2 linked regions of the Neurospora crassa OR74A genome follow. The protein of the gene in region 1 interacts with the protein of each later gene in a pairwise test. Links are inferred from orthologs where the notes say so. Each region holds a gene or a part of one and is shown in the gene's direction. Other genes may lie near its edges.

The links. The genes of interacting proteins can lie anywhere in the genome.
Region 2: the proteins of naf-1 (region 1) and NCU08990 interact in a two-hybrid assay, tested with the Saccharomyces cerevisiae proteins (2 studies listed by BioGRID). The link is inferred for Neurospora crassa OR74A from reciprocal best matches to the Saccharomyces cerevisiae genes NAP1 and RPL39.

The regions. Positions count from the first base shown.
Region 1 is NC_026505.1:4,745,467-4,751,072, reverse strand, and holds naf-1 (nucleosome assembly protein), read left to right. Parts: upstream 1-2,423; 5' UTR 2,424-2,697; coding exon 2,698-2,744; intron 2,745-2,821; coding exon 2,822-2,901; intron 2,902-2,979; coding exon 2,980-3,699; intron 3,700-3,756; coding exon 3,757-4,082; intron 4,083-4,147; coding exon 4,148-4,198; 3' UTR 4,199-4,902; downstream 4,903-5,606. Other genes in the region: NCU10143 (ATPase type 13A2), read right to left, coding at 1-102, 166-324. UniProt on the Saccharomyces cerevisiae protein: Acidic protein, which assembles histones into an octamer (in vitro). Involved in the regulation of the localization and the function of the septins during mitosis. Involved in the function of B-type cyclins.
Region 2 is NC_026503.1:4,146,399-4,150,486, forward strand, and holds NCU08990 (60S ribosomal protein L39), read left to right. Parts: upstream 1-1,147; 5' UTR 1,148-1,275; coding exon 1,276-1,281; intron 1,282-1,499; coding exon 1,500-1,600; intron 1,601-1,814; coding exon 1,815-1,863; 3' UTR 1,864-2,585; downstream 2,586-4,088. Other genes in the region: NCU08989 (ADP-ribosylation factor 1), read right to left, coding at 1-318, 389-511; scon-3 (sulfur control-3 protein), read right to left, coding at 3,395-3,571, 3,670-3,935, 4,017-4,088.

The DNA.
Region 1 (5,606 bases):
TTGGTAGAAGGAGAAGCTAGTGGTGGAATCGGCGCGAGCTCGGCGGTGGTTGAATGCGGACACGCTGGTTGGGAGCGACTCTGCCATGGGACCAGAGTAGAGCTGTTGCCGCAAATGTCAGATACAACACACACTGATCCACGAACACGGGAGAAGAATGCGTACCTCGTCGTGTGCCATCTCGACATCCTCAAAGATGCTCGCATTGCTCTGGTTCGAGCCCAAGGTGTAGAGGCCTGGACGGTGATCGTGACTGGCGCGCCGGCGGTCAAAAGACTGCGATGACCGCCAGCTAGCGTGGTGGGCATCATTGCCGCCGTTCATGTTGGCGCTGTCCGTCGGTGTTGTTCCGAAGTTAACCCTATGTATGAGCTCAAACGATTTTTAATAAGTAACTTGTACGCATCGATATGGATATGCAATTGGGGAATGTCCAAGTAAGAATTTGAGATTCTTGCCGCGACCCAGTCAGTCGTCCGAACTTGTAAGCGCAGATCTGTTTGGGAAGGTGATACCGATAAGAACATGACGTCGCTTTGTTTCGCTTGATACGAAGCCTCGCAAATTGCATAGTACCATACGTATCGATTGATACACAAGGTCGCTGGAACGGACTTGATCGAGCCGTTTCAGACTTTCAGACATTTTTACGCCAAACCGGCACTCTTTACACCTCCCTCACGATCAACCAACAATGTTGGCTTGCCGAAGACAAACCCTTTCCATGGATCATCGAGGAAAGAAACAACCAAATACCAATAACATGTGAAATCCTAAGGGACAGTTTCCCATATAGGTATCCTTTGCTTGACTACATGGTTACACAAAACAAGACATCAAGGTTCATACTAAATATGGAAGCGAAGGACAACTGTATGCAGTAGGGCTTCTTGCGATCGCATGGATAACTTCCACGATACTTCCCTTACCATCTTGTACATTCAAGTGAGTGGATCAGGCTTTCCGCACGATGACTGGAGATGGGAATGATGGACTCCAGCTAGAATCCTCTTGTCTGACTTCTTCACATTTGTTGACCTGGACGCCGGAGTCACGGAGAAGGATCGGGGCCAGACCGTCCCAACGGGCAGTCAGCAAGTGGGGCAGTCACAGGCATGGGATTTTTCTTTCAACACTGCCCGCCAATCGAATGCCAAGCATGTCCGCTAACGCTTGCCTACTTACATACCTCTAGCCAGAAAGGTCGATGGCGGAGATGGGGGTCGCTATCCACGATTTTTACGATAAGCACAGTGCAACAAGGGTCATTCTGGCCCAAACCTTGTCGGCTTCAGTTGGCGATGGAGATTCGTGGGCATCGCGATGATCACTTGGCAGATGCCGCGAGCGGTCTCACTACACCACAACGTGAGAGAACGTGCTCCATACGTGCCCGTACGTCGTGTACTGGGGTCACTGCAGCATCTCACCTGGACTTAGGTTGGACGCCCACGACGGTCTACGGCCATGATGGTTCAGATCGGTCCGATGATGGTCGCTGAACCCAGCGTCGACTCATAATCGAAGTCATAAGCAGAAAAGTGTGCGTCAAGTTGCCTCTGCTGATGAGGTTTTGACTTGCTGAGGACAGAGTGAATCAGCAGAATTTTCAAGTTTGCCTTCCAAAACCTGCCCGGCTCTGGAGGCCTAATTGAGTTGAGAGACCCTAAACGTTAGAAGCAAATCACCGCAGCCCGACGCCGGTGAGAAGGCGAGATGTAAACACCCGTCCAATATTAGCAGCTCGCAGTTCAGACGAAAAGCAACTTCTAAACTATCTTGCACCTATGAGGTACCTTGTAACTTGTGTATATGAAGCCGGCATGTCACCAATATCATTTACCCTACATCATGTCTCTGGCCGGGATCCCTGGAGAGAACGCTAGCACGCAAGACACGCCAGCCAAATGCTGAAGCATGTGGTGCCAGGAAGCGACGCGCGACGGGCAACCTGGAAATACACTACCTGAATGCGATGTACATGAACGGGCTTTGTACGATAAGAACAACAATGGCATGTTTAGGTTCATCTGGCTAGGCGTAGGTACCTGAGGGGATTTTCAGTTCAGACGAGCAGACCGGGCATGCAATGGCCGAGTGTAGAGTCAAACAAGTGACAGGAGGAGCTTGACCCTAAAAAGACGTGACCCATGACAATGGGCACCTTGCCTATGCTGGAATAGAATTGAAGGTCAAATACCTCTAGGTGGTGGTGTAGGGCAAGCGACAAGACTCATGGGCAGCAAATGGAAGTAGCGGACTGGGGCTGGGTGGTCGCCGGCGCAGTGCAGGCATCATGGAGTGGTCCAACGGGGCGCCTCCCGCTGCAGTGCCCTCGACCCGACTGTCCTGCCCGCACTGGCCAGTGCCCCGCAAATTTTCATAGCAACCCCATTGATAGCTTTTCTCCCCTCCCGGTCCCCTCCAGACCCGACCCTCGCTCAACATTTCTTGCACTGCTGCACAACAAGCCTTCTCTGCCTGGACCGACCGGCAACCACAGAACTTTTTGCCTTTCCCACCAGCACCGGGGCCCCTTCATCAATCTCTACACCCGACCGCTTCTTCAATCCAAATTTGCCCTTCCTTCTCCCATTTCTCCCTCCGACATCCACTGTACGTCGGTCGCAGGGTTCTACCACCGCTTCCTTCTCTGTATCCCAACTCATTTCCTTCTCTTGACCAGAACCAGACACAATGGCCGAGCCCATCAGAAACAAGCGGGCTGATCCCCCCATCGCTCCGTGAGTTTTCATCCCCAGACTTGATGGGATGCCCATCCCGAGTATCGCGTACCGTTACTGACCAGCCTTCGCTTCAGCACCCCCCAGAACACTCCTCTTAACACTGCCCCCATCTCGTCGCACGCTCAGCAGCCCGGTGTTGCCAGCATCAAGGAGGGTGAGTGAAGATTCTTGCTGCTGCTGAGACTATTTGGTAGTTTTCTGGGCTTGTCGCTAAACTTACTGTTCGTTGCAGAGGATCTTGACCGTGCCGCCGCCGCTTCCATCTTCGCCAAGGACCCTAGACTTGTGTCCCTTATCCAGGGTCGTCTCGGCTCTCTTGTCGGTCGTTCGTCCGGCTACATTGAGTCTCTCCCTACCGATGTCAAGCGTCGTGTCGCTGGCCTGAAGGGCATTCAGAAGGAGCACTCCAAGCTCGAGGCCGAGTTCCAGGAGGAGGTCCTCCAGCTCGAGAAGAAGTACTTTGCCAAGTTCACTCCTCTTTACCAACAGCGTGCCGCCATTGTCAACGGCCAGACTGAGCCCACTGAGGACCAGGTCCAGGCCGGTGAGGAGGATGAGGAGGAGGAGGATGAGGAGACCGAGGCCGCCCCCCAGGAGGAGAAGGCTACCGAGTCTGCCGAGAAGGTCTCTGGTATCCCCGAGTTCTGGCTCTCTGCCATGAAGAACCAGATCTCCCTCGCCGAGATGATCACCGACCGCGACGAGGAGGCCCTCAAGTCCCTTACCGACATCCGCATGGAGTACCTTGACAAGCCCGGATTCCGCCTCATCTTCGAGTTCGCTGAGAACGAGTACTTCACCAACAAGACTATCACCAAGACCTACTACTACCAGAACGAGAGCGGCTATGGTGGCGACTTTATCTACGATCACGCCGAGGGTGACAAGATCAACTGGAAGGAGGACAAGGATCTTACTGTCCGCGTTGAGCAGAAGAAGCAACGCAACAAGAGTGAGTTGCAGTTCCAGCTTGAATTTTCTCAAACTTGCTCACTAACAAATTGCACAGCCACCAAGCAGACCCGCATCGTCAAGAAGACCGTTCCTACCGAGTCTTTCTTCAACTTCTTCTCCCCCCCTAAGGCCCCCACTGATGACGACGAGTCTACCACCTCCGATATTGAGGAGCGTCTTGAGCTCGACTACCAGCTCGGTGAGGATATCAAGGAGAAGCTTATTCCCCGCGCCATCGACTGGTTCACTGGCGAGGCCCTCGCCTTTGAGGAGCTCGATGAGGAGGACTTCGAGGACGCCGAGTTCGATGATGAGGATGATGAGGATGATGAAGATGCCAGCGAGGACCAGGATGACGAGGATGAGAGCGATGAAGACGATGTAAGACTTTCTGAATTTTCCCCAACACATGCTATGCTCTGCAGGTATGCTGACAAATTTCACAGGAGGACGGCAGCAAGCCCAAGCAGGAGGCTGCTGAGTGCAAGCAGAGCTAAACGCTGATCGCTGAATGAACACGAAAATGATACCACTATACCACGCAGGCAAGGGGCAGAACGCCCAATGACATTTGGCGTCTGAGTTCCAAATTATTGAGGGTCATGCATGACCGCACCGGGGTGGCCGTGGGCTCAGGAAGAACAGGAGTGTGCGGATGGCCGGAGCTTGTGGTGGATCGATAACCATTCTACAGAATTTGAATTGGTCACATGAGGAGTTGGCTTCAGCACCTGCCTTGACGCTGTGGTTGTCTCTCATAAGTCTTAGCAGGATAGTTCGTCCTGACCCCTGAAGCAGTGGCACGTCAGAGCGCAAGGATGGGAGCAGATATGCGAACTAAACCGGAACAAGGGTCGATTTGTGCGTAAAGGGATGATATTATACGGGACAAAAGCAGTGATTCTAGGAGGATTTAGGTGTTGATTTCATAGTACAGCATTGCAGGTGTTTCTACATCACAAACCGTCATCCAACAGCGTGACTCGATGTAGACTGTCTGACTGTCAAGTTCATTAGGCCACGACACCAGGGGCGGATGACTTCTCCAAGGAGTTCTCAGATGGATGTAAATCGTCATGACCCTTGTTAGCCTCGCGTGATGTAGATAGAGTAAACCTCAACGGACGAAAGAGTCGCCGAGCTGAGGCAGTGCGTGCCTGGAAGGCCTGAAGGATGGGAGCTGGGCTTCTGGAAATTTAGTTGGCGATGTCTCTACTGACACGCAAGCTTGGCGGCTCCCGGTCGAGTTTGAAGGTAGGTAGTAAGTACCTCGAGACTTGGAAGTAAACTAAATAATGGAACCCGGGAAGTTGTTACACTATTCAGTGCTCGGGACACGAGGAGAAATAAGAGACCATCTGCGCTGAATCGAGTGAAAGCTGTCTACATGAAAACATACTGGCTCGGACAAAGTCAAGGGGACAACAAAGCCATGTCAGGTCGCTGTGGCAGTTTCCTATACATTGTGCGGACAGTCAGCTCGATTCTTGCGAGTCCTTCTTCTCCTGAGGTGGAAAAAAAAGAGGAGCCCGGGCAAGAAGACGGGAAGTACGGATAGCATGGGAAGAACACACGCCACATCTCATATTTCCATTTTTACTCTACGTTAAGCAATACAGCCCGATTCTATGTTATTCAAAGGGCTGTCAAATTGAGCAAGCGACCAACATACACTGCCAACTGAGTGCTTGCCTTCACAGCGGATCTCTTATTCATTCTATGATTCCAGTGGCGTAATTCGTCATCGTCAAGATTTTCTTTTGGTTGCCTGAGCTACCCACCGGATCCAGCCAGTAGGTGAGTGTTGTTTTGGGTTCCTATGTTGTTATGAGTCAAAGGCGACCCGCCGCCCGCGTTTTATGTACAGCGCTGTAACAGTCCCCTCCAAACCCGCGCAAACCCCAC
Region 2 (4,088 bases), on another chromosome or scaffold:
GCGGAGAGCCTGAGAGATATCTGCCGCCCCCTTTGCACCTGGCTGATCTTGCTTGTTGGCAAACACCAAAAGGGCAGCGTCCTTCAGCTCTTCCTCATTCAACATAGCGGCCAACTCATCCGCCGCGGTTTGCAATCGCTCCATATCGGTCGAGTCAACAACGAATATTACCGCCGCCGTGTTCGCATAGTAGCACCTCCAGTACGGGCGGATGCTAGTCTGACCACCCAGATCCCACACATTGAAGTTGAGATTCTTGTATGTGACTGATTCGACGTTGAAACCGATTGTTGGTATCGTGGTTACTACCTCGCCAATCTACAACATGTTGTCAGCTCTCCGAACTGTGCGCGCTTCCGTTCGTCAGCTTTTCAACAGGTGGGCCTACCTTGAGCCTGTATAGTAGTGTTGTCTTTCCGGCATTATCGAGGCCCAATATCAGAATGCGGATCTCCTTCTTTGTCCAAAAGAGGTTGGACAGGCTAGACAGCCATGACATGCTCTGACCCATCTTTGCGTGTTGGCTAGTGCCCCGGAAGACTGAGAGCGCGTTGAGTTCGTAGGAGTGTGATGATTGAGGCAGTTGATAATTAGACGGATGAGGAGAGGATTTGACCAGGCAAGGCGATTCCTTGATACAGATCGGGCTCTAACGTGTCGGATCGGGCCGTACTAGTCGATGGAAATGATGACGGCGAGTAGTGTATTATCGAGGAGGCAGCGAACGGAAGCGCGGTCAGCCCAGCTGGTATCTTTCGGATGCTCCCGTGCGCACGGTTGAAGACAGGATAAGCGAGGGTTTGTTGCGCCGTGGTATTGCGAAAAAAAAAAGTGTTTTGGGTTAGGTTGCTTCAAGATGCTCCTCTCGTTGTCATAGAGAGGCCGTCGCTCAATGCCGCCAAAGAGCTCCTTTGATCGTGCCGGCACTCAGGGGTCCCGGGAGGCAAGGCCGCCCCAAGCGCCCAGCCCAACTGCAAACATCCCGGCAATCGATTGGCAGCGAGACGGCACCGTGGAAACCTCCGATAGCCGCTTCTCGTGGCTCGTGCGCCTCCCTTCTGGACCCAAATGGACCTTCTGTCCGGTCAGAGAGCGGACTCCAAGAGTGAATGAGCCTGTGCCACAAGTACGAGCCACAGACACACACGTGACTCAGCCACATGCGCACTTTCGGGCCCTAGTGTTCTGCTTGGTTTTTGAAAGCCCACACCAAATATTCTAACCCACCTCATCGACACCAGCCAAATCGACCGGTAACTCGACAACACCGTCAAAATGCCGGTACGTAACGTCCCACCATGTTGAGCATAGAGAATGCTCGGAATCGCTCTGCTGTCGAATTTTTGGCCGTCCTGCTATGCCAGAAACGGCAGCGACACGGAATTCCCAAAATGATGATCGCAGAGCGATTGATTGAAGCATGGAGGAGGGGTCCATGACTTCACCTGCTCGAACGACGGCAAGACAAGTTATGCTGACGAGGTGCATCGCGAAAACAGAGCCACAAGACCTTCCGTGTCAAGCAGAAGCTTGCTAAGGCCCAGAAGCAGAACAGGCCTATCCCCCAGTGGATTCGCCTCCGCACTGGCAACACCATCCGGTACATATCACCATAAGCGCCCATTGCTGTCGCGTTCAGCCAGAGGAGAGGGAGAGGGATGGATAGTGACGGGGATGGTGGTGAGGGAAGCTGGAAAACAAACCAGCTGCCTCGGCTGTACCCGGCGCAACATGCCCTCTCGCGAGCTTTCTGCACTCAAGAACGCATGGCGACTGCTTCATCATGACGCTGGATGCTAACAAGAGACAACTAGCTACAACGCCAAGCGTCGCCACTGGCGCAAGACCCGTCTCGGCCTCTAAATGCTCTCACGATTCTTCCATATTCCACCCCCAACGATGGTCTTCTTTTCCTGGTTGCTCTGATCCACCTCCATTTTTCGAAAACTGGAGCTTGGGAATGCGACCTATGACGGCAACCTTCTTCTCTCGGCCTTTGTCCTACGAAATTAAACCGATAACGAAATCTTCCCGACCTCCCGCTACGGAGTTGTTTTGCTAGGGCGAAGTCACCGATCACCAGCAAGCACGAAGGAGAAGCGGGCAAGGGCAACCAGGAAGCAAATACCGGAAGATGATGTGATCACAACCAAGTTCTGGCTCGGCGGCGGTCGGTTCTCAGCTGTGTTCTTTCGGCGGGGGGAAATATCCTGGAACTCGATCCTTGTTTTGGGGGAACGTAAACTTTCGGAGTACTATGCTTTCACGGCAAACATTTAGAAGGACGGTTACTGGGGGAATTAGGATCTGAAATGAGAGAAAACGTGGTGCACGAGAGTTGATTCCCATATTTGTTCTACCCATGTTCTCGGAACTGTGCTACAAAATCGGTCTATGTACCATGTCGTGTGCGCATTATATCAAGGTCTGTGACACCGAGGGGGCTTGATCAAAAGACGTGGGCAATGTCCAAATCAGCCCGCCTACGTTCCATCAACGACTTCTGTACCCTTGGCTTGTATAAAGCGAGTAAAAATGAGCCATGATATACAACTTGGGTAAGCTCCCTCCTAGTCTCTCTGCAATCTGGACCATTAGTATGTTGTTTGTGTGCATGGGCAACTCCATGCCATCCTTGCGCCTGGCCATGGTTGAGTTCAAAACGCCAAATTGTCAGTGAAAAGGGCGGTTTCTGTACCTACCTGTTTTACCGGGAGCGCTCTAGCATGGAACAATGGAGGGTAGTGTGGATGTTGGCTGACTTTTCTTTCCCCTACTCTAAGGCCCATTTCTTCCTGGTGACTCCGCGCCTTGAACCATGAATAGCTGCCACGAAACAGAGGGTCGTTGTTGCTATCATTAGACTACAGTTCACATGATGGGCGTATTAAGCGAATACGAGGTGCCAATATGTAGAGTATGTTGGTGGTAAAGGGGGCCATCATGGCAACAACACGGAACAGAATCGTGACGACGTTGTCGGCCTTTACGGTGAGGACGTTCTCAGACACGTAAGGACCTGATTCACAAACTGTATCATCATAAGAAAACCCTCGATTCAGCCTAAGAAAACAAGGAGCCGTAGAAAAAAGCTAGAGAACAACGCCTCTAAACGCCTGCCAACGCAAAGGTACGATCGAACGTACTGAGTGGAAGAGCTTCGTTTGTGGCCCTCCCAGGAATGCCCAAACCGTATCACGTCGTCGTCGAAATGCTGTCGATAACACGAGATGTGTTTGATATCCATCTCCCAACATAACAGCTCTCCCCATATCCATCAAACTCGGCTAAAGTGTGCGTTCCGGTAGACGAAGCACAGGGGTAACCTCTGTCGTTGGCAGACGGTGATCCCGGCGTTGCAAAGTGACTTGACGTGGAAACTGGTCTTGATCGGCTAACGGTCTTCCGCCCATTCGTTCTCGCGGCGAATCTGCTCCTCCTCCTCTGGAGTGAAATCATTTGTGATATTGAACGTCTTTCGAATCTCCTCAGGGGACTTGCCCTTGATCATGTTGGCAACGGTCTTGCATCCAACATCAAGGAGGGGCTTGATGTCCATGTAGTTGGCAGCCTGGATGAGGAATATGTTAGCATGATCTGACCCTGCAGAACCCGAGTGATGTTTGCATATCAAGTAGCATCGGCGGGTAGAACGAGGGAGAAACCTACGAGAATGATCTCGAAGAGCATCTCCTGGTCAACCTGCATGAACTTCTGGTCCCATTCGTCGATCTCCGTGCTCTTCTTACGGCTGTCGTTCTCGTCCTCGGTAGTCTGGGGCGGGTCCTTGCGGTGGTGCTCGCACCACTCGACAACCTTTCGGAGGACAGGCTCGTTGACGTTTGGTAGGGGAATAGCCTCGTTCATAACAGCCTCGTCGCCCAAATCCTCAATCAGGTTCTTGATGAGAAGGGATCGCTCGGCAACAACACGATCTGTGTTTGACGCCAGTTAGTCGGCTGCAGTCGCAGGGAAAGAAAAGGAGACAGGCCGGGTGGCGGGGTGATTCTACTCACCGACGGTGATGATTTGGCCATCGTTGCTCTGGAGAGATACCTTCTGGAGGGCACGTTCGTCGTTCTCCGCCA